3 separate regions of the Mus musculus genome follow, and all the other regions are reported to be linked to region 1. The links are microRNA targets in miRTarBase. Many come from high-throughput screens and were not tested one by one. Region 1 holds a microRNA gene; each other region holds the end of a gene's coding sequence.
What was found. The annotated mature microRNA mmu-miR-3108-5p reads GUCUCUAAAGCUAGACGUUCCGG and lies in region 1 at 2,771-2,793, opposite strand. An mRNA with a match to its seed (bases 2 to 7 or 8) in the 3' UTR can be bound and repressed. Matches are read on the target gene's strand: a 7mer-m8 pairs with bases 2 to 8, a 7mer-A1 pairs with bases 2 to 7 and ends in A, and an 8mer does both.

Region 2: miRTarBase lists Uevld as a target of mmu-miR-3108-5p. Seed matches in the 3' UTR shown: 7mer-m8 at 3,053-3,059 and 7mer-A1 at 2,074-2,080.
Region 3: the mRNA of Rc3h1 is a reported target of mmu-miR-3108-5p. Seed matches in the 3' UTR shown: 7mer-m8 at 3,277-3,283.

Annotation. Positions count from the first base shown.
Region 1 is chr8:108,935,595-108,939,662 of GRCm38, reverse strand. Mir3108 (microRNA 3108) reads right to left here and starts at 2,803; the gene lies at 2,725-2,803. All of the region lies in intron 7 of Zfhx3 (zinc finger homeobox 3), which reads right to left.
Region 2 is chr7:46,922,977-46,927,035 of GRCm38, forward strand. It overlaps Uevld (UEV and lactate/malate dehyrogenase domains), which reads right to left. Exons shown (of 12, transcript NM_001040695.1): 12 at 240-3,512. The coding sequence ends at 3,345. It also overlaps a transcript of Tsg101 not described here. Among named protein-coding and RNA genes, the nearest start is that of Tsg101, 5.0 kb to the left of the region's middle.
Region 3 is chr1:160,967,456-160,971,514 of GRCm38, forward strand. Rc3h1 (RING CCCH (C3H) domains 1) reads left to right here. Exons shown (of 20, transcript NM_001024952.2): 20 at 192-4,059. The coding sequence ends at 342. Among named protein-coding and RNA genes, the nearest start is that of Serpinc1, 9.1 kb to the right of the region's middle.

The DNA of each region.
Region 1 (4,068 bases):
CCTCGAGCTCCTGGTGAGTGGAGTGCTCCCTCATGAGGAGGCTTCAGGGCCCGGCTCTCCCTATCCCGTCCGATCCCCATGGGCACCACTCGCTGTAGAGCTTGAGCCCTTTTTCCTGCCTTCCTGCCTTCCTGCCTGCCTGCCTGCCCGCCCGCCCGCCCGCCCGCCTGCCTGCCTGCCCGCCTGCCTGCCTGCCCGCCCGCCCGCCCGCCCGCCCGCCCGCCTGCCTGCCTGCCCGCCCGCCCGCCTGCCCGCCTGCCCGCCCGCCCGCCCGCCCGCCCGCCTGCCCGCCTGCCCGCCTGCCCGCCCGCCCGCCCGCCCGCCCGCCCGCCCGCCCGCCCGCCTGCCTGCCTGCCTGCCTGCCCGCCCGCCCGCCCGCCTTCCTGCCTTCCTGCCCGCCTGCCCGCCTGCCTTCCTGCCTGCCTGCCCGCCTGCCCGCCTGCCCGCCTGCCCGCCTGCCCTCCTGCCCGCCTGCCCGCCTGCCCGCCCGCCCGCCCGCCCGCCTGCCTGCCCGCCCGCCTGCCTGCCTGCCTGCCTGCCTGCCGGTGAGGCATGGCAGCACAGTCTCTACGAGACTTTGTCTCTGTCATGTCTCATCTTAGAAAAAAAATAGTATACTTTTAAATTTTTTACTTTTTAAGACCTAAAGTCTCATATCCCCCAAGGCAAACCTCCAACTCATAATCCCCCTGCCTGAGTGCTGGGATTATAACGATGTGTACCAGCTGTACTGCTTTCAGGAAATTTTAATTGTTGCGTATAACTGTATAGATTTATGGGGCTCAGGGTGAAGTTTCACACACATATACTCTGTGTGCTCATCACAGGAGGACCCCAGCATATGTGTCTCCTCCAGCATTTATCTCTTCATGAGACATTAAAAGGCTTCTCTTATGTCCAAAATATATACTGGGGTTGACTGTATGTAGTTGGCCTACTGTACAACAGAATACGGGACAGTTGGCTTACTGTGGAACAGAACACCGGGATGCTGTCTTCCTCCCCGCCTGGAACTTGGAATTCACTGACAAAACCTCCCTCCCCACAGATCTCCTTTCTAAAATGGCGTGAGACATAGACACACACAGACAGACAAAACTGAGGGCCACACTAACAATTTATGTAGATCAAAATAACACACACACAAACCAGAACCGGAGTTTGAAAACTGAGAATGATTTGAACGGATGGAGCAGGGGGTGGGGAGGGACATAAGAAACAGGAGCAGCTATGCGTGTGTGTGTGTGTGTGTGTGTGTGTGTACACAGACGAGAGAGCTGAGGGGGAAATGGATGGGAGAGCAAAGCTTCATTAGACCCGAGAGGCAGGCGGCGGCAGTATACCAAGGTCACTTCTAATTTAGACCATCTAATTGGCAAACAGGCTCCAAATGGCTATCATCTCGCAGGGCTTGGAATTAATGAAGCCCGATTATTTTCATTACCTTCCTCTGAGATGGACACAAAGTGAAAGAGCTGATATGCAGGTGGGTGTGACAGCCTCGGGGGCCAGGGGGAGCACAAGAGCCCCCTTGTGGGGGAGGGGGAGGAGGAAGCCTGCCCCTGAGGTCCACACATACATAGAGCAGAGAGAGAGGGAGAGGGGAAGAGGGAGAGAGGGAGAGGGGAAGAAGGGGAGAGGGAGAGAGAGTGGGGGAAGAGAGAGAGAGGGAGGGAGGGAGGGAGGGGGAGAGAGAGAGAGAGAGAGAGAGTCATAGACTGGTGTTTAAAGAACACAGGAGACTATACTATTGTCCCCCCAAAGAGAGGCTGAGAGAAAACCACAGGCAAGGCAGAAAGTGGGGGAGAGGGGCACAGGAGCACAGGAGGGCATCTGGGTGCCTATGAAATAATAAAAAGGAGTAATTGTGGGCCAGAAAAGAGGAGGAAGAGGAAAGGCTACAGAAAAAGGTGCTCTTGGCTCAGCCTCATTTCAGCTGTGAGGTCCCATTTTGTTAAGTGATTAAAGAACAAAGAAAATGTCCCCAAATTAATGATCTAGGATCCCGGTGGTATGTCCTGTCACTTAGAAGACACTGATCAATTAGAATAATTTAAGAGTATTGAAACGCATGGTGGGTGGTCTTTCCCATTCTTACTGAGGAGCCGAGGAGAAACACGTGTCCCTGGGCCCTCATCCTTCCCCCCAAATCCAGGGACAGAGTGGAAGCACCAACATTTCCCCCAATCTAAAGCCTTGGCTTGTCTGGAAATAAGACTTAGGTATTTGAGATCAACATGGTGGAGGGGGGACTGGCCAGCCGAGTGTGGAGGTGAGCCTGTCTCACTGCCCCAAAGCTTTAGAGACTTCCTCTTTTATGTGACACGTGTAGAAAGAAATGTGGTCTGAGTTGTTTCCAGCAAGTGTGGAGGGTGCTGCTTCCACGGTCGATGGCCAGCGCTGCAAATCCTGCCAATGAAGAGCATTTTTTTCAAGCCCCCTCATCGGTAAAAAGAAGGGGACCCATGGAAGACATAGATATGAGATGCAGAGCATAAGCAGCCGTTACCATAGCAACAGACGTATTAGACCCTGCAGGTTCCTGAAAGCTGTCTGATAAGGTATTATTAAATGAAGCCTCCTCAAAAAAAAAAAAAAAAAAAAAAAAAAAAAAAAAAAAGCTCTCCATTTACAACGGAAAGGAAAGACACTGCGTAAAAAGTAATCTATTTCCATTTATCAAGGCGGAATTTACTTTCAGATGGACTGAAATCCAATACTGGCCACTTCCTTGAGACTCTAGACCTAGACGCCGAAATAAAAAAATTCTCCGGAACGTCTAGCTTTAGAGACCCTGGTTGTGTCTCACGTCCAGCCGGGATCACGGATCTGGGAACCTTTGGCAGCGTTTTCTGTCCCTCAGCCAAAGCCACCTGCCTGGGCCACTCTGCCATTTGCCTTGCCATTCAGGATCCCAGGAGACAGGACTTGAGCCTCTCAGAGGTTGAATGGCCACTGGCTACTCCTCATGACGAAGCAGAGGAAGAAAGGCTTTGGTTAGGAGTTATCTTCATCAGATTGCTTTTAGAGCTCTCCGCTGCACTTGGCTAAGCACAAACAGATAAACTGTCAGAAAGCCTAACCAACACTTTCCCGGGGCCAATTTTCTAATAAAATTACTGTAAAATGCCCTTCGGGGACACGGTTTCAGCCACAGGCTCATTAACATCACTTAGTTGTACAACAATTGTGAATTCCATTTTAACACCAAACTTTTCCAAAGAACAGCCCTGGCATCTGACCAAGATTAGGCGTCTAGGCATCAAAGAGGATCTGGGGGTTTACCCTAGAGAGTGGCTGCACAAAGCTGTTTTGAATGGAGAAGGAAATACATCACTTGCAAAACTGGCCTCGTGACTAGAAGGACCAGTTCTGTGGGACAGTCACCACGCCAGTTTCCCAGGTAGAGAGCTATGTGGTGCATGAAAGCCCCTCACACCATCTGTGAAGTTCAGAGGAGCGCTTAAAACACACCACTCACGCGTCATCCCTACTTTCAACTCCCCGATTTGCAATCTAGTAGCTCGCTGATACTAGCAAGCTGGTTTCCTGGAACCAGCACTTTTACAGCTTGTACACTTCTCAGAGACGGCTAGACAACATCTCTACTATCTGTGGAAAGATGAGGCCTGTGGGGTTTCTGTGCGGAGCAAAGTGCAGGACCTTCAGGGAGTGGCTGCTTCTTGCGTAATCTCTCTGCTAGGGGTTCAAGAACAAGCTTATCACCGTCCTCCCAATGTGTGGGGTGCTCCCTGGTACCTTCGACAGGCATGTCTGGCTCTGGACACTGCTCCAGGGAAGGTTCATGGCCTTGGCTCTGTTTTCTGGGGTCTTTAAAAGGTGGGAAATCACTTCTTCACAAAGTGCTATTTAGTGAGGTCACTTCCAGAAATACCTTAGGGATTGGGACCCAAGCAAATGCCATGGCAACAACCTGTTCCTGAGGACTCCGCTGGCCAAAGGTTCATGGTGAAAATTATCACTTGAAATTCGCCTCTTTGGTTCTAGTGATAAAAAAAAAAAAAAAACGTGATGGCCTGAGCTGGTGGTAGCGGTGAACGCCTTTAC
Region 2 (4,059 bases), not on the chromosome of region 1:
AGTTTGAGGCCAGCCTGGTCTACAGAGTGAGTTCCAGGACAGCCAGGGCTACACAGAGAAACCCTGTGTCAAAAAAACAAACCAAAACAATTTTTTTTAAAGAAATAACTGATAAAGGCCACTTTCTTCATCTTATATTTAAGTCACTTAAATGAATAAGATATGGTTGTTCGGAGAATGCTATGAAATCCTTCTTTAATTTGAATGTATCTTCTTTCACTTAATCAGACAGCAGATAGTCCTTTTAAAATAAAAGTTTATTTCATTCATTATTTTTGATATTTAAGGAAACAATGTAAATTGGAAAATAAAAAATATATTTTATAGTATCAAAAAGCATTTTAATCCAAGACCCAATAAAAATCTTAGATGCCCCAGTACAGGGGAACGGCAGGGCCAAAAAGGGGGAATGGGTGGGTAGGGGATTGGGGGGGTGGATATGGGGGACCTTTGGGATAGCATTGAAAATGTAAACGAGGAAAATACCTAATAAAAAAAATTAAAAAAAAAATCTTGAGATTCCGCGTGCTTTGGGAAAAATGAAAGTTTCCTTTCACATAGCAAGGAGGAAAAGCAATGTTTTATTGACAGTACTTTTTTAAATGAAGAAATAAATCTTTTACAAAGTTTTCAGTTTTCACAAAGCCTGCATTTCAGAATATAACAAGACAAAAAAGTCAGGATTTATAACTTGATATAGAGTTGAACCTTCTCATATGGTAGGTCATCACCTTAGTGAATGAACAGGAGTTCTGATCCTGTCCTTGTGCTTCACATGAGAAATATGCAAACACTGTACATTTCCAATTGGTTTGGAGACTAATACAGTATTTAGGTTAATCAAGTCAACATCATCCAAACCAATAAATGATTAGAAAAAAAATGAAAGTCACCACATAGAGTAACTGTTAATAATTAAATCAAAGTTAGGTGGCTGTGATGGCACCACCTGACTGAGGAGGAACGTACAATTGCTACTTAACTCAAAGAAGTGTGAGGCTTCTGTACTGCAACCCGGGGATGAGGTCAAACTAACAAAATCCTTGGCTAATGATGAGTATTTAATAAATATCTGACGTTTCTTTCTATAACATAGTTCTCGGTAGTTCATTGTTACAGCACTCTGCAGTTGGTTTATTGTTCAAGAGAGTTTTAGGATTAGATTATAGACACAGGGTTGGGGAGGAACCTGCCTAACATGCATCAGACCCTGGATTAGATCCCCACAAACAATGTAAGACTTGTTGCTGGGCATGGCCGCCAATGCCCAGGAGATTAGGCAGATGATTGCTAAGAGTTGACTTTGAGGTTAGTCTCAAAACCAAATGAAGACAAAGAAGCTCTAATCAGGAATTACTGAGTTCCTAATTAGTTATCACCTATTAGAAAATACTAGAAAAACACCTAAGAAATGACTGTTTCAACTTTACTTTCCCACTTCATACAAAAGGCCAGTAAAAGCAACACCAAGATTATCTACAAAGAGCTCATGCTTATCGTCTCAAGGACCCCAGTTCTGTGTTCTGGAACCACACCCAGGGCTCTGCACGCCAGGCAAGCATCTTAACAGTGAGCTATACCCCTAGCCTGGATGTCCAGGGTTTCATCCAGTTAAACGTGGTGGGAGTCTTTGTCACCACATTACTTTTCTACTTTCTCCAGTTTGGGATACTGAAGGTCACTTGTCATTATAATTACACGAGTCACCCTGAGAATGAGACTGTTCCCTTTCTGTCTCATAAACCACGGAGTTCCTCTCTCTCTGACTAGACTGGGTTCCTTGTCACTGGACTTCACAGCACTTAGCACTCTTGAACTTACATGACATTTGGCTACTGTATTCCCTGCTAGTCTGTAGGCATTGGCAGGGCCTGTCCTAATCTGGGCCTGTTTACTAATAGTGCTTTGTTAGAGAAGTTTCTAATAAATACTAGCTGAAGGATTAAATACATAAACACTGTCTGCTGTTCGTGGAATCTCTGGGGAAGAGGCTCAGCAATCTTTGTTAAAAAAAAAAAAAGGCAGATATGATGGCCTACACTTTTAATCCCATTGAGAGACAGAAGCAGGCAGTTCTCTATGAGTTCAAGGCCAGCCTGTCTACAATAGCAAGCTCCGAGATGGTCAAGACTACAAATAGACCCTGTCTCAAAAAAGAAAAAAAGAAAGAAGCTCCCATCATATGAGAATAGAAGCAATTCTTTCATAGTATCCCAACCCTCAACTTTAGTGTCTTGCGATGACTTGGCGTTTAGGCACAGAAGCCTCCCCACAACCCCTGTTGCTACCTATTAAAAAAAAGATTATACAGGCAAGTGAGACTCCTTAGAGCCCACTTGATCTTAGACACGAACGTTCATTTTCACCTCCGTAATGAAGGTAAATAGTCCCTACCTCAGCCAGTTAGTGTGGGCATTGTACAAACAAAGTGCTCGCTACACAAGAGCTGTGTTAGCTGTTGCTGCCATCTGCACGTCACAACAGTCACCAACCATGCTGTCTCCCACATGGAAATACTGCTACTGACCAATCACCAAGGCACAGTCAGAAGGGTTTCTTCTGGGGAGAAGCAGCAGGCCGGCCGGCCTCTCTCCTGTAAGACCAATGGTTTTTAGGAAAGCCTCATATTTTGGTCTCAAAATACACTGTGTGGCTGTTATTCATTACCTACGGCCACAGGAAGACACATCTCTTTTTCTACTAATATAGTTTTAAGACAGACTGGAGATCTTTTAGCCCAGGAAGAGGTTATAGAAATTTTCAGAAAAGAAATCTCAGTGGAAATTAAACCACATTACTTTTCATATATTTAAAAATTCCATTTAACCAATTTAAAATGCATACTAAAATACTTTCTAGTGTTTGATAGCTAGTGAATTTGAAGAAGGAAAATAAAACACTTCTCCATTACTATGACCTGCTTCTTGCAAAAGCAGTATTAATCCATGAAGCCAAGATTCTCTGAATGGACACCTAGCACAGATTTTGAGCCCATCCTGCCTTCAGCTCACCATACTCAGAAGAAATGTCCAACAGGAATCTTTACAGAACATCTCTAAAGTGCCAGATGTGCCTTAAGTTTACAACATGTAATTTAAAATGAAATACAATGCAAATGAATATTTATCCCTTTTGCAGGTTTAAACAACAGTACAGGTATGTCAAAAACCTACAAGAAATTAATCCTTTTCCATTCTCAAGGATTCAAATTATAAAGCTAATTAAGAAGCCATCTACTAGAAAGGCTGTTTTTAAGAATAAAGAGTAAATTGTGGAAATTCTCAAAACGATGTGTGTTGGCAAAATTAAATAAGCTCCCATCTCCGGGTGACTGCGCTGGGGAATCACAGTTCCAGCTGCTGCTGGAGAGCATGGATGGAGGATGCACTGGCCTGGAGTGTCCCAGTCACTGTGTCTTCTCCTGCTTTGGTTTTGATGACTTCGGATACCCCACCGGTTCCCAGGATGCATGGCAAACTTAAAAATACTTCATTATCTAAACCATAATATCCCTGAAATGAAAAAGATGGGATTATAATAAAGCTGAATTACTACAAAAAAAATTAAACTTATAGGGCTGGAGAGATGGCTGAGCAGTTCAGAGTGTGCTGCTCTTTCAGGACAGTCTTTCCCAGACCCATGTCAGGCCGCCCATAACTCCAGCTTCAGGGGATCCCAAGTGAGGCAGTTCACAGCCGCCTATAACTCTAGCTTTGGGGATCCCACAGTCTTTAGAGTTCATGGGCACCTGCACTCATACAAGCAACCACTGCCATATACACAATTAAAAATAATAAAAAACAAAAAATTAAAGATAAAAGAATTCTTTCTTGTTTTTTTTTAGTTCTAGTACAAAGTGATACAAGTTAAATTTGATTTGTTTACTGATTTTTCTAAACTCAAGTTATAGCTTCAGGAAACATCTGAGATGGGAGGAGCCTGGTCAAAGATACCCTCTTTGCATAGAGGTAAACTGCCTTTCTGTAGTAAGGTCAGCAGTCTGAAGGCTAATCCAGAGGTGGACAGTAGAGTCCTTGTGGAAAGACTGCATGGATTCTG
Region 3 (4,059 bases), not on the chromosome of region 1:
GGAACCAATCTAACCTAAAACTGATAAAGACCAGCTGCTTCTGCCTTCTGCTTGAACTAAAGGCATGTGCTCTACTCCAGCCTCATGTTTTTCTACAGTGCTAAATAATAAGCCCTATTGATTGGATTTTATTTAGAGTAATTGCTTTTCTCTTTCTATAAATTCCAACTATTTTTTCATGTAATTTACAGTGATGTACCAAATGGATCAGCCTTGACACAAGAGAATCTCAGCCTCCTATCAAACAAGACCAGCTCTTTGAATCTGTCAGAAGACTCTGAGGGAGGAGGAGATAACAATGATTCCCAGAGATCAGGAGTTGTTTCCAATTCTGCTCCCTAGAATATGGGCACCTGCTTCTACCTTCTGCTCCTAATCAGTTCATGGGGCATAGGGATAGAAAAATGGATAACTTCTAAACTTTTTCTCTGAGTGGTCAGTGAAGTCCAGGAAAAGCACCGGAGGCAATGTGCACAAACACCACTACTAAACAAACCTGCACATAGTTCACATTGATGCATTTTTTTAATTTTAAGAAAAAAAAATTAGCAGTATCTGCAAGCAATTCAGATTAAATTTGTTTTTGTTCTGTGAATGAACTTTATTTTAATAACTTTGGACGCCTTGGATCCGGGGCTTTAAAAAAAAAGAAGATATTATATATACACTCTGTTTGATTAATTGTATGATCTTAATGAAGTAGGTTTTTCTTGTATTTTGGTATTATTACATACCCAGTGTATAATTCCTTTTCCCCAGTCCTTTCCAACTCTCACAACCCTGTAAACTAAAATAGACAAAAATGCACCGTTTCCAAGAATTCTGTGGTAATAGATTGGGTTATTAGAAACTGTGCAGCAAACTAATTTTATTAGAGCTATTCTTTAACCCCAGCCCTGTTTCTGGATCACTAGCTCTGTGGATAGATACTTGTTTTTTACAACATTAAAAGTTTATTTGAGTGGATATGGTTTTAGTTTCAACTTTTCAGAGATGTCAACATGCAGTTGATTGTTTGAGCCACATTTTGGTGTCAAGCATTCCTTGCATTATCTCCTTAAAATCTGAAAGCCTATTTAGTGTTTACAATGTTTAGTTAGATTTAAATGAAGATTATTTTATTTTAAGAATGAACTCTGAATTGGATATAATGGCTCATTCCTGTAATCCCTGGCCTCAAGATGTTGAGGCAGGAAAAAACAGAATAAGAAGAAAAGAAATGAACTTCAGCTTGTTAATAGTGAAAATAGGCATTTCCTGTTCTCCTATGTGGAGCTCATGTTGGAAAATTCGAGCTGTGTTTACAAATTAAACTTGTCTTGAAACCCTAGAATAGAAAAACCAGGACAGTGAACCATACTCTAAAGCTGGGAGCCGGCTCAGCAGAAGAGCACCGGCTGCTCTCCCGGGTTCTTGGCAGCACCTGCAGGGTGTCTCCCAGTTCCACTTTCAGGGACATGACACCCTTTTCTGGCCCTTGTGGACACCAGACACAATGAAGAAAATTTTTTAATTAAAATAAAACTTAACACTCGATAGGAGCTTCAGTAAACAAGGACATATTATTTCAATGGAATTTTTGTTTTCCTTTCAAAAGCGTTAAAGATTTGGCAGATAGAAACTGACTGAGTCTTCAGGGTAGTTCATGCTTTGGTCACTTGTCAGTAATCAGAATTACTAGAATAACTATAAATAACTTGAAGTGAGTTTTTATAGACCTGGCTTTCTGACATTAAAAATGTTTATGAAAAAGTTGAAGAGTGAGGAAGAATTTTTATTTAGTTCTGCTGCACATATTCTAATGCTAACCACTGTTTGCTTAATTTACTAAGCCCCTCTAAAATGAGTTCAGCAAGGCAATGTTTCGTAGAATCACTCCATCCCTCTGATTGCCTGACGTCAGTTTCCCTTTCTAGATGATGCTACAAAACAAGAAAGCACTGGTTATGTAATAAGTTACTGCATTGCTTTGGTTGGGTAAAAGCAAACGTTTATATTTTTCTTATTTCTATTTCCTGAACCCTTAACTCTGCTGAGGTCTGCGTCACCTCAGTCTAAGCTCTGTGTCCATCATCTTGTTAATTGAAACAAGTGGGTGGGGGTGGGATAAGAGTGGGAGGGGTGGGAAGGGAAAAATAGTCCTGCCATTGCCTACCAGTAGGAAATCCAAACAGAACACTCATTTGAGTAGCGATTATTTAATTTGCCCAGTCAAGGCACCGTGTTTATATACTATTTCACATTGAATTTGATTATGCCCTACAGACCTGGCTGGTCAAGGATTTGATATACACATATTGGCTTGGGATTCGAGCTTTCTTTTTTATTTAAATAAAAATTTATATATATATTATATATATACATATATACATGGCTATATCTGTATATATATCGGGTATGTTTTAAAGATTTCTTCGCATGAGCGCAGCTGTTGCAATAAGATGACTGATTGGGAGGTAGAGGCACCGAATGACGGTGAGGCATTTCTCAGTTGATGCATACATTTTCCTTTTAATTTTAAATACACATTTGTACATTTGCTTTTTTTGGACTTTTTTTTTTAAGATAAAATGACTCTTACATTTATACTTTACTCATTATTTATTGAGATGAGGAGAGAAATGTTATGCCTGACAGGATTTTTATTTTTCTGCATATCTATAAAACGCCACATTATTGGCCTCTTGCCTTCAGTAGACAGATTTGGGTGGGTCTTACCTCCTTTGGACATTTCAAGATAATTCCTAAGTCTTAGAAGCAGATGGGTTTTTGTTGTTGTTGTTTTTAAAATTGGAATAACTAGGGGGAAATCTGCATATTGGTTTTCTTGGAGTTAAGAATAAAAGTAAATTTTCATTGTAGTGTGTATGAGACCCCCAAAATGTACTCTGCTGCGGTGCACTAGTATCCTTTTAGGTATATTTTTATTTAGGGAGAAAATTAGTCTTTTAAATGGTAGTATGAGTTCCCCAAGCCCCTCTCTATAGCCAGTCTGGGTTGGGTAGAAAGTGAAAGACTGTGCCTACAATTTTGCTATTTAGTCATTTTCCCTTACCAATTTTTAGGTGGGGTTTTTTGGGGAGCAGGGGGTAGGCAGTATTGTTTGTGCCCACTGGCAGGTTTAGGGATTCAATAAAAACTCTCATAACTTTGAGGGGTTTTTCTCCCCTTAACAAAGTCAATGTTATGAGACAACAATAAATTGAAGCATAACTTCATGACTCTTAACTGCTGTTTTTATTAAAATATGAAAACCATTGATTTTTATTTGTGTCTTTAGAGACATTAAAAAAAGGAAGCCCATCAAATAGGAAGCAGAGCTTCTGCACCACCAGCCCTGCCCTTTTAAGACAGTCTTAGCAGATAGCCCATACTGGTTCTGACTCGAGACCCTGCGCCAGCCTTGTGAGCGAGCACTGGAAGAATGTCAAGCATGTGCCGCCATGCTCAGCATACTCAGCAATGGGTATGGCTTTTCACTGAAATGGTTTCTTCTGAAGGTGATTACTTTTTACTGTATCCAAGAGCAAGAATCATCTCAGATGAAACAGACAATTCTGGAAGGGTTATGCAGCAGCATATTCATACTTGTTCAGAAACAACGCCAGTATGTTAGCTGTCGTGAATAAAAAGTACTTAGGCTCAGTCTGTTTTCCGTGAGTCTCTGGAACATGATGGAGGAACTGAGAATGGGGTATCTAGACTCAGTTTCCTGTTGATAGTAGGAGTCTGAATGTGACCAAAGAGCCATTCCTTACTACTTTTCTACTTAAACAGAACTTGTACCATAGGTTTCTGGTAGTGATGTTCAAATGACGTCAATGTTTAAGACACTATTATTAGTAATTACAAATATTCACCTACTCAGAATGTGTAAGAGCTTGTTTGGCACGTACGGCATTAATGTGGGTCATTCCTTCTCTCATCTTCCTTCCCTTGTGGTTTTCCCATGTATTTATTCTTTTGCCTAACAGCAGAAGATGGATACAATTCTCACGTGCTACTTGGATACATGATCCCATCAGACTCCCATGAGCTTGAGTGTGGGAGCTTGAAATT